3 linked regions of the Callithrix jacchus genome follow. The protein of the gene in region 1 interacts with the protein of each later gene in a biochemical or structural test. Links are inferred from orthologs where the notes say so. Each region holds a gene or a part of one and is shown on either strand. Other genes may lie near its edges. The genes, in order: ARHGEF12, IGF1R and RPS6KA1.

Evidence for each region.
Region 2: the proteins of ARHGEF12 (region 1) and IGF1R form a complex in vitro, tested with the Homo sapiens proteins (2 studies listed by BioGRID and IntAct, with this or other methods). The link is inferred for Callithrix jacchus from reciprocal best matches to the Homo sapiens genes ARHGEF12 and IGF1R.
Region 3: the proteins of ARHGEF12 (region 1) and RPS6KA1 interact in a test that uses a peptide from one of them, tested with the Homo sapiens proteins (2 studies listed by BioGRID and IntAct, with this or other methods). The link is inferred for Callithrix jacchus from reciprocal best matches to the Homo sapiens genes ARHGEF12 and RPS6KA1.

Annotation. Positions count from the first base shown.
Region 1 is NC_133511.1:20,095,509-20,099,156, forward strand, and holds part of ARHGEF12 (rho guanine nucleotide exchange factor 12), read left to right. Parts: intron 1-215; coding exon 216-330; intron 331-1,075; coding exon 1,076-1,181; intron 1,182-2,807; coding exon 2,808-3,020; intron 3,021-3,648. UniProt on the Homo sapiens protein: May play a role in the regulation of RhoA GTPase by guanine nucleotide-binding alpha-12 (GNA12) and alpha-13 (GNA13). Acts as guanine nucleotide exchange factor (GEF) for RhoA GTPase and may act as GTPase-activating protein (GAP) for GNA12 and GNA13.
Region 2 is NC_133507.1:10,998,012-11,001,659, forward strand, and holds part of IGF1R (insulin-like growth factor 1 receptor), read left to right. Parts: coding exon 1-8; intron 9-1,617; coding exon 1,618-1,856; intron 1,857-3,648. UniProt on the Homo sapiens protein: Receptor tyrosine kinase which mediates actions of insulin-like growth factor 1 (IGF1). Binds IGF1 with high affinity and IGF2 and insulin (INS) with a lower affinity. The activated IGF1R is involved in cell growth and survival control.
Region 3 is NC_133508.1:63,192,801-63,196,548, forward strand, and holds the start of RPS6KA1 (ribosomal protein S6 kinase alpha-1), read left to right. Parts: upstream 1-1,013; 5' UTR 1,014-1,069; coding exon 1,070-1,204; intron 1,205-2,020; coding exon 2,021-2,137; intron 2,138-2,903; coding exon 2,904-2,985; intron 2,986-3,748. UniProt on the Homo sapiens protein: Serine/threonine-protein kinase that acts downstream of ERK (MAPK1/ERK2 and MAPK3/ERK1) signaling and mediates mitogenic and stress-induced activation of the transcription factors CREB1, ETV1/ER81 and NR4A1/NUR77, regulates translation through RPS6 and EIF4B phosphorylation, and mediates cellular proliferation, survival, and differentiation by modulating mTOR signaling and repressing pro-apoptotic function of BAD and DAPK1.

The sequences.
Region 1 (3,648 bases):
GGTCTCCCTCTGGTGGCTTGTGTGTTATTTGACTAATATTCTACTGTTGTCCTGAGTAGAATTCTTTTCTCTGTGCAATGACTAGATAGTTGTTTAGTTTTTGTTTGATTAATTTCAATAATTTCAAGCTTGGGGTTTTGGAAATCATTTGATGTCTTTATTCTACTAACCCTCCCTTCTCAGAAGCTTAATTTACTTCATCCTTTCTCCTCCAGTTCCACCATGCAGTATGTTATTCTCATGTATATGAAGCATTTGGGAGTAAAAGTGAAAGAGCCTCGAAATTTGGAGCACAAGCGGGGTCGGATTGGATTTCTTCCAAAAATCAAGGTAAGACTGAAATAATGTAATAGCATGTTGAGGCCTTAGGGCTGCTTTACATCTGGTTGCAGTGTGTTCCATTCATTGTCTTCGTATTTACTTAATCAGCAAATTAATGCTAGTTATACCAACATGTATAAGGTATTATTTCTGTTCTCAAGAAACTCAAAATCTAGTGAGAAATCCAGACATATAAACTAAACTAACATTAGACAATGTGAAAAGTGAAATTAGCAGTTTACAAAGAGTGCTGTCTCTGATTCTGTTCAAGCCTTATACTTTTACTTTGCCTGAACTAATTACTCCTATGTTGTTATATAATTTTCATAAACATCTTTAGTGGCAGTATTCTGTCAGTTTGTAATTAGTTGTGTTTTTGTTTAGGGTTTATTAGATTGGAAAGCTGTATGAATATAAGGACCTTTTTTATTATTATATTCTCAACTGTTAGTATATTTGTTGAATGGATGAATGAATTCTTAATAGAATAAGTTCCTGGTAAATGTGCTATAAAGCTACCCTTTGATTTTTTCCAACTGTCAGTGATGAAGGATTTGCGAAAACATCTTGAGTTTGAGGTGTACACAGTACTGTGTGAACTTTTAATGAGCACTCTGTGTATGTGCATACATATGCACGGGTTTTCATTTACATTTAACAGTTTTTTTGAGCTAATCATTAGCATTACACTATGAAAATAGCAAAAGAAATTTACTCTGTTACATATCTCTTATTTTTTGTACTTCAACTCTAGCAAAGTATGAAGAAAGATAAAGAAGGGGAAGAAAAAGGGAAGCGAAGAGGATTCCCCAGTATCCTGGGACCCCCACGGAGACCAAGCCGTCACGACAACAGTGCAAGTATGTTGACGTTTGAAGTGGTATGTTTTCACTATTCCAGACCCTCTTCATATCAGAGGCTTCTTGGCTAGAATGACTTTCTGGAAAAAGGAGTTGTTAAGATAATGTTGCTGAACGCTTAATATGCCTTGTTTCCGTTCAGCATTATTTCTGAACTGAGTACCCGCTCTCTTGCTACATAATTGTCATAAACATCTTTAGTGGCAGTATTCTGTCAAATGTCCATAACATAGTTTACTTACCTCTTCTGATTCTGTTTGCTTTCAACTTGTATTTGTTAAATTAAAAAAAAAAGTGTGTATATATCTCTCCACCACACTGTTTAGCCTCTTTATACATACTTACTTAGTCTCCTTACTTCTAAAATTTCTCCACATCTCTACTTTATTTTCTGATAGAGATCAGCCCACTTGGGATGGCTGCAGGAGAAATAGGGATGGTGGTACCATGGGAAGGGGTCATGTGATGGTTCTTATCTCAGGCAGTACCACATTTGAAAACACTGAAGCCAGGTGCAGTGGCTCTTGTCTGTAATTCCAACACTTTCTGAGGCCGAGGTGGGAGGATTATTTGAGCTGGGAGTTCGAGACCAGCCTAGGCAACATAGAGAGATCCTCCTCTACAAAAACAACCACCACCACAAAAATGAGCTGGGTATCATGGTGTATGCATGTAGTCTAAGCTACTTGGCAGGCTGACGTAGGAGGATTGCTTTAGTCTGGGGAGTCAAGGCTGCTGTGAGCCATCATCTCACCATTAAACTCTAGCCTGCGTGACAAAGTGAGACACTGTCTCAATAAAAAAAAGATATTGGCATGGTAGAGTGGTGGGAGTGGACCTTTGGTAGTGAATGTCCCACACAATGAGGAGTCCTTACTCAAATGCCAGTAGTGCCCCTTGTTGAGAAACATGGAGAAGGAGGGAAATTTTTAGAGAAAGTTAAAGATATAGTGGATTTCACAGATGCTATCCGTGAATTCCAAGGGATACAAAAGAAGAATTTGAGGAATTAGGGAAGGTGGGGTTAGATGGGTATAAAAAGCTGTGTGAGGGTACAGAACGCTATGGAGGATGAAGACCATAGTGGGAGTCTTCGGCTTCTTGTGGTGACTTTGTGAACAGGATAATTAGCAGGATGGGGATTGGTCTGAATGATCTGTGAGGCACATTGTGATGATGAAGTTGTGAGTGTTTGGGGGAGAACTGGGGTGGCAGCTTACTAAGAACTCACAAATATAAAGGACTTCATCTTCATTCTTACAAATGAGCAAAGCTCCATGTCTGTCTCTCAGCATTCCTCCTCCCTCTGTCCATCACTGCTCTCCTTATTTCCTTTTCTCATGACCCTCCTTCTTTCCCTACTTCCTCCTCTTCCTCACCTTCATCTTACTGCCTCATCCTCATCCCTCCTCCATCTCCCCATCTTTCTCCTCTAACTTCCTCTCCTTTTCTCTCTTCTCTTCTTCCTTCCTTCATCTGTGTGTATGTTTCTCTGTATAATAATTCACTATATATATTTTTAGGGTCCACCATGTTTCAGACATTGTTCCAGATTCTTTTACATTTTCGTTTTTTTCTTTTCAGCTAGTTTGCAATACAGACTATTAACCATCATTTTCTGTTCAGTTGGCAGAGCCATGGAACTACAGAAGGCGCGCCACCCTAAGCACTTATCCACACCCTCATCTGTGAGTCCTGAACCTCAGGACTCTGCCAAGTTGCGCCAGAGTGGGTTAGCAAATGAAGGAACAGACACTGGATACCTGCCTGCCAATTCCATGTCTTCTGTAGCTTCAGGGGCCTCTTTTTCCCAGGAAGGAGGGAAAGAGAATGATACAGGTGAGCTAATGCTATAGTTCAGCTCAATAAGCATCAAGATTTCAAAACAAACAACAGTAACTGAAAAGTAGAGTGGCAAATTATTTTAATCAAGACTAAATCCCAGTTTAATTTTAACATTTTAATATGCTACAACCAATAATAAATTTATGCTGAATGATCATTTTAATTCTCATTTGTCCAAAAAGTATTTACTAAGCTCTCTGTCAGGCATTAGCTTTGTCCCAGATGTTAACGTGCCATAATTATACACAGATGCTTGCCTCATGCAGCTTACTCTCTTGAGAGTGATAGTCACAAATATAAAAGTTGTAAATTGTGCCAAGTCCAGTCAAGGAAAGGTAAAGGGAATATTGAGGTCAGTAACTGGGTGGTAGTTAGAGGCAGATGTAGGTGTCTAAAGAAGACTTTTTAAAAATCTGAGATTAACTAGAGATTTTATTTTTAATTGTTAGTAGGAAACCAGCTGAAAGAAAAGGTAGAATATGTGGGAAAGATATATAAGTATTAGAATAGAGTTGTGAGGATTTAGTGTATGTAATGGATAAGACTATTTACTGAGAGTAAGAGTTCAGTAAGAAGAGCAAAGGAATTTGAAGAGTAAAGAAGGATATGAAGTAATTATTGT
Region 2 (3,648 bases), on another chromosome or scaffold:
AAGGAAGCGTGAGTTTCTGCTTTGGGTGATGCCATTCTGTTGACAGGGCTGCGAGTGGGAGAGGCCAGTCTTTTGGTCCTTGCAGGGGTTGGCTGAATGCGGGGAGTCAGCAGGGTCCCCAGGGAGAGCCATGCCAAGCATCCCCACTTCATCTCATGCGCCCTCCTGGGCTGTCCCCATGATGTGAGTCACAGCCAGTGACAGCCACCAATGGGAAAGTGTTAGCTTTGAGGCCTGTCATTCTTTAGTAAGTGATTAGAGATGTTTGAATAAAATAAACCCAAAGTGGGGAAAGCTTGTTTTTTTCCAGAATTAGGTCAGACCAGACTCATAATCGATGACAGGGGACTTCACTGAAATATTGTTTCAGCCTCCTTACCCACTAGCCCTACTCTAGGAACACCCTGCAGCCACATGGCTCTACCGAGGTGACCCATGGCTCATCTTATTCCTGTCTCTCTCTCTCTGTGCCTCTCCCAAGCTGAGGCCCTCCGTTCCAGGTAATGAGCCTCCCAAACAAGCGAAGGAAAGTGGAGAGAGAACAGCCATCATTTCTTGAGCTTTTTGTGACTTCTCCCAGACTCTGTTGGGAGCTTTTCTTGTGCGACCACATGACATTCACCCACCTAAGCAACCAAGGCTCATTCCTTCCGACGGCAGCTCTCTGTTCCTCCTCTTCCTTCCATTGCATCCTGTATCCAGGTGGCTACCCCGGTCTAGTTAGCCATCCACCTTACCCGGGTCCCATCTTAATCCCATAGTTCTGCTCTTGGGAAGCCAGGTACGTGGCTTCCCAAGAGCAGAAAGCAGAGGCACCTTATGACGGCATCTTATACTCTCTTCTGCCAGAGCTGGGGTCCTATGGATGAGAAATGGGATATGAGGATTTCTAGGCTTTCAGGATTTGTACATAGGGGAGCCCCTCGTGACCTCCCATCATGATAGCAGGTATAGATTTGTTAATGTTTGTTTCAGAAGCCAGTGGCCAGCAGCTGCCCAGCCCTTTTATCTGATAGATGTAAAGCATCTACCCAGCCATGCATCTGTGTAAAACACTGTGTTCCCTTTCACAGTCGCACCAATGCTTCGGCAAAGTCAGCGGGTAATTTCACTAAGGACTTGATGCTAGTTTCTAAGGCAATCTGGAAACTAAATATCTGAATATTATAACGTGCTTGAGCATCAGAATTGTGTATGAGCAATTTGAATTTTAGAGGCTACTTCTGTTTGTAGGAAAGTCATTTTTTCTCTAACAGTTACCTTTTATCAGTATCCGATATTTGCATTAACTGACTATGCTTGTTTTTTCTTAATGATGAAAAAAATGCTGCAGTCAGAAGAGAGAAAAATAGTATTTGCATATGTTCTTAAGGAGCAGTCACTAGTGAAACCCAGTAACTGTTGAACTGGCTCTTCCTGAGGCAGAGCATTCAAGTCTGTAGTGCACGACTGGGGAAGCCCGGAGTTCAGTCGCTTCCTTTTCTTCTTCTAAGTCTAATTGATTCTTTCTTTAAACCTCCCATTATAGAGCGTGTGACATGCTGGGCCTCTGGGGAAGGTTTTTGAGTGTTTGAATGTCAGAGCCCTGAACCTTCTCTGAACTTGATTGTCTTTCAGACCCTTTAAGAATGTCACGGAGTATGATGGGCAGGACGCCTGTGGCTCCAACAGCTGGAACATGGTGGATGTGGACCTCCCCCAGAACAAGGACGTGGAGCCCGGTGTCTTACTGCATGGGCTGAAGCCCTGGACTCAGTACGCTGTTTACGTCAAGGCTGTAACCCTCACCATGGTGGAGAACGACCATATCCGTGGGGCCAAGAGTGAGATCTTGTACATTCGCACCAATGCTTCAGGTATCTGTGCCCAGACAAGCCCTCAGCATCCACGCTTCTTCGCCCGCTCACTGGGCTTGCTTATACATGGTGCTGTTGTAGGATTAGCAGTGAGCTATGGCTGTTGTCTTTCTCGTCAATAGGTAATACTGTGTTACATTCATTTTTTTTTTTTGAGACGGAGTCTCTGTCTCCTAGGTTGGAGTGCAGTGGTGCGATCCTGGCTTACTGCAACCTCTGCCTCCCGAGTTCAAGCGATTCTCCTGCCTCAGCCTCCAGAGTAACTGGGACTACGGGCACCTGACACACTCGACTCATTTTTGAATTTTTAGTAGAGATGGGGTTTTACCATGTTGGACAGGCTGATCTTGAACTCCTGACCTCAGGTGATCCGCTCACCTCCACCTCCCAAAGTGCTTAGATTACAGGCATGAGCCACCGTGCCTGGCCCATATCCCCACTTCTAACATGTTAGGCTCTTCGTGCCACCTTCTGGCCTTGGTACCATCTTCCATCATCTCGTTCCTGCTCTGTGCCTATGAGCCCAGGTCCTCCAGGGTGCTGGGCTGGTTTCATTGGAAGGCCCAGCCAGGAAACAGTCATCTCCGGCTGCCCTTCTTCCTTGTTTGTTTTGATGTTCCAGTCTCCAGGAACCGAAAGTGATCTGTGTTCCACTTACTTCCTGTAGCTCCCTGGTGTCCATCGTCATTCTGGAGCCTGTGGAGTTCCAAGGAGGTCAGCAAAAGTTGAAAGACGGCAGATGTAGTATGTTGTGGATAGTCAAAGTTTTCACTGATGAAGATGTTCCTCCTTCCTTCCACTGTCTTCAGGTTCTGAACCACCTCATTTCTCAACTCCAGATCTGGAAACAATAAAAGCAAACATAAGTGTTTTCTGAGTATATAAAAACTAGTTCAGAAGTAGGAAAATGCACTTCAGGTTTAAAGACACTGATTGTTTTAGTCCATTGGAGCTTCTGTCACAAAAAACAGCATAGCCTGGGTGGCTTATAAACAATAGAAATGTTTCACAGTTCCGAAGTCCCAGAGTGCAAAATGAAGGTGCTGGTGGGTTTGGTGTCTGGAGAGGGCCCACTCCCTGGCTCATAGATGGCTGTCTTTTCATTGTCATTGCATGGTGGTGGGGATGCCAGAGCACTCTTCAGGGCCTCTCATAGAAGGGCCCAGATTCCATTCATGAGGGCTTCACCCCCATGACCCAGTCACCTCCCAAAGGCCACATCTCCTAATCCCATCATCTTAGGGGTTAAGATTTCGACCTGTGAATTTTGGGGTGGGACACAGGCGTTCAGTCCACAGCACTGAAACATTTTTTTTATAATAGCCATTATTTTAGTGGGTAAGGTACTTTTAAATACTCACAAGCTAGCACAAAATGAGTTTAAATGGCAGAGAGGAGGTGAGGATAAAATGCTGGCAGGGAGAACCTTTTGCTGTGCATTCCTGCTGCTTCCTCCCCTCCTACCCTATTTCCATGATCCTGTGCATGGCCACAGTCATGTCACTGGGTAACGTGATGATACAAATAAATTTGGCACAGGCTTCTGATCCTGGGTGTGTGTTGGTGTAGCAGAGGCTTAATGCAACACAATAAGTTTTTCATCTTAAAATGTGGAAGTAACCCTGACCAGCAGCTCACTGTAGCGTTTGGAAAACAGGAATCTCTGCTTATTGTGACAGATTCTCAAGAAACCTGTTTCCTTTCCGCAAAGATGGAAACCAGGCACTGTACAAAGGAGTCCATTTACTACCTTTTTCCCCCGTCCTTACACACGGAGAAGAACTTGGTCCTC
Region 3 (3,748 bases), on another chromosome or scaffold:
CTACCTGTGTCTGTTGTTGGATTACAATCTCTGTCTCCACTTGATAAGTACCTGCCTTCACCTGTTGGGCACATGTCACATGTTAGGTGCCTGTTGTTCATGTCCCCTTCTGTCTCTACCTGTTGGGTTTATGTCTTCATTTATCTCTGCCATTGGATACATGTCCCCTCTGTCTCTGCCTGTTGGGTACCTGTCCCCTTCTGTCTCTGCCTGTTGGGTTTATGTTCCCTTCTGTCATTGCCTGTTGGGTTCGTGTCCACTTCTGCCTCTGTCTGTTGGGTTCATGTCACCATCTGTTTCTGTGCTGTTGGATACATGGCCCCTTCTGTCATTGCCTGTTGGGTTTACGTCCCCTTCTGTCTTTGCCTGTTGGGTACATGTCCCCATCTGTCTCTGGCTGTTGGGTACATGTCCCTTTCTGTCTCTGCCTGTTGGGTTTGTGCCCCTATCTGCCTACACACATTGGGGATGAGCTTCTGTTCACCTCTGTCTGTTAGATATGAGTCCCTTCCTGCTGCTTCTTGTTGGGTACATGTCTCCATCTGTTTTCTACTGGGTATGAATTTCTCCTGCCTCTGCCTGTTGGATAGGTATCCTTATCCATCCCTGCCTGTTGGGTATGTGTTCCCTCCTGCCCCTGACTATTAGATGCCATTCTTATCTGTTTCCACCTCTTGGGTGCCTGCTTCTGCCTGTTGGGTGTCTCTCTTCGTCTGCCTCCACAAATCAGGCATCTGTCTTTGCCTGTTGGGTACCTATCTGCTGTTGGGTACCTGTCTGCTCAGCAGCTGCATTGGCAGGGGGCTTTCCCCTTGCAGGCCTCTGCAAAGGGAGGATGGGGGAATGGCCAGAGGGCAGCCCTCAGACACTGGGGAGTGGGGAGAGAGGAAGGGAACGTGGTGAGGGTGTAGGCCTGGAGCTGGGAAACCACAGACCCTGAGTGATTGGCTGCCCTGGGCCGGGCCCAGCCCCCGCCCTTACCCTGCACATCCGCCTTGGTCCGGGCCACCTCCGCGGCAGCCCTGGTCGCTGCCTGCTCCTGCCATGGTGCTGTGGCCCTGCTGGGCGGATGGAGCAGGATCCCAAGCCGCCCCGTCTGCGGCTCTGGGCCCTGCTCCCCTGGCTGCCCAGGAAGCACCGGCCCAGGATCAGCCAGACCTCTCTGCCTGTCCCTGGCCTTGGCTCTGGCTCCCAGCAGGACTTGGTGAGTGTGCCCGGATGTCTGGTCCTGGCCTGGCTGTGTCCCTCGCACAGGTGCCTGGGAAGCTAGCTTAATGCAAGTTGGCTTTGGTCTGTCCTGGCCCTGCCAGGGGTGACTGGACCCTGCCCAGACTTGCTTCCTGGGGAGGTGAAGAGGCACTTGAGGGCTTCAAGGTAATACCAGCAGATTGGAGGGAGGTTAGAGTCCTGGAACAGTGAGGCTCTGGCAAGGCACTTCTAATAGGTTTGTAGGAGGGAAGTTTGGGAAGATGAGCCATGCAATCTCCGGCCTTAACTCTGACCTGCCCCAGGCCAGCGCTGACCAAGTCGATGGGGGAGTTTGGGTGACTCTTGGGTCTTTGTGCACCTCAGCCCTGTCCTACTGACCAGAGGGATCCCTCTTCCCATCCTGACCAGGAATGAAGGCCCAGCTCTACCTCCCCATATGAGAACAAACCTACTTCCTATTGTGGCAAAACTAAAACAGCAGGGGGAGGGAAGCCCCACGGGCAGACCTGGGACAGGTCTCTGGGTCTCAGCCAAGTCGGGTTAGCTGAGCCTGGCCATGCCTGGGCATCCCTCTGGGCCATCCAGAGCATCAGGAGCAATAGGAGTGGTACCTTTTCTGGTTTGACCTCACCAACCTTTGAGGCCCTTTTGAAATTGATGTCCCTGGAGGCTAGCCCTTCAGGGAAGTCATCTGTTGGGCCTTTAGGTCCCATCTGCTGCGGTCTGGTGGGAAGGGACTTGGGCAGGGGGGATATGCCTCCTGCTGCCCAGATGGGGCCCACTGTGCCCACCAGCTCTATCCCTCCATCAGGATGAGGGCGTCCTCAAGGAGATCTCCATCACGCACCACGTCAAGGCTGGCTCTGAGAAGGCTGATCCATCCCATTTCGAGCTCCTCAAGGTTCTGGGCCAGGGATCCTTCGGCAAAGTGAGTCATGAGCCCATGGCTGTGAAGGCAACGTTGGTCATGTTGGAGGTGGGGATCAAGGCTCACCTATGGGCCCAAAGTATCAGAGGTCACCTTGGTACCCACGGAGAGCAAAAAGGTCAGCTTGGGGCTCAGAGAAGATACAGGTCATTGGCCAGGCGCAGTGGCTCATGCCTGTAGTCCCAGCACTTTGGGAGGCTGAGGTGGGTGAATCACAAGGTCAGGAGGTCAAGACCATCCTGACCAACATGGTGAAACCCTGTCTCTACTAAAATACAAAAAATTAGCTGGGTGTGGTGGTGGGCACCTGTAGTCCCAGCTACTTGGGAGGCTAAGGCAGGGGAATCACTTGAACCCAGGAGGTGGAGGTTGCAGTGAGCCGAGATTACGCCACTGCACTCCAGCCTGGTGACAGAGCAAGATTCTGTCTTAAAAAAGTAAAGAAAAAAAGAGGCTAGACATGGTGGCTTACGCCTGTAATCACAGCACTTTAGGAGGTTGAGGTGGGCAGATCACCTGAGGTCAGGAGTTCGAGACCAGCCTGACCAGCGTGGAGGAACCCCGTCTCTACTAAACATGCAAAATTAGCTGGGTGTGGTGGCGCATGCCCGTAATCCCAGCTACTTGGGAGGCTGAGGAAGGAGAATCGCTTGAACCTGGGAGGTGGTGGTTGTGGTGAGCTGAGACCACGCCATTGCACTCCAGCCTGGACTCAGCCCTCTCCCATCTCCCATCTTATCCCCTGCTTCCTGCTCTGCCTTCTCAGGTCTTCCTGGTGCGGAAAGTTACCCGGCCTGACAGTGGGCACCTGTATGCCATGAAGGTGCTGAAGAAGGCGACATTGAAAGGTGAGTAGGGACACCTCCCTGTGCAGAACCCAGGCTGGGCTGAGGGAGGCAGCCCACACTTCAGGGACCTTGGTTCTGGCAAGGAAGACAGCTCTGTCTTCAGAGCACCTAGTTCAAAAGCGGAGAGACAGGCCTATGTCTCAGCCATCCCTCCCCACCCAATCCCCTTCCCCTAAGCCAAGTGCCAATGACTGGCTGTGAAGGTCTGGAAGGTAGTAATAGGATAAATGCATGGCTGGGCGCAGTGGCTCACGCCTGTAATCCCAGCACTTTGGGTGGCTGAGGCGGGGGGATCACGAGGTCAGGAGTTTGAGACCAGCCTGGCCAAGACGGTGAAACCCCATCTCTACTAAAAATGCAAAAATTAGCCAGGCATGATGCCTGTAATCCCAGCTTCTCAGGAGGCTGAGGCAGGAGAATCGCTTGAATCTGGGAGGCGGAGACTGCACTCCAGCCTGGGCGACAGAGTGAGACTCTGTCTGAAAAAAAAAAAAAATTGGATAAATGCAATGTGTTTTTCAGGGGAGGGACCCTCAGATACCAAGCTGGTCTGGCAGAGGCGTTCTGACTATTGGCAGGGTTGCTTCATGATGCTAGAAGAGTCTGAGGGAGACCTCTGTGGCCTCTAACTCATGGGCCTGAGAGAACGGCATGAGTAAAGAGGCAGGGAGCCCAGGGAGGCAGCTGGGCAAGGCAAGAGAGGGTGAGTCCAAGCAGGACCACAGTGCTGGATAGCAGAGAGGTTCAGAAGGGAGCCCAAGTC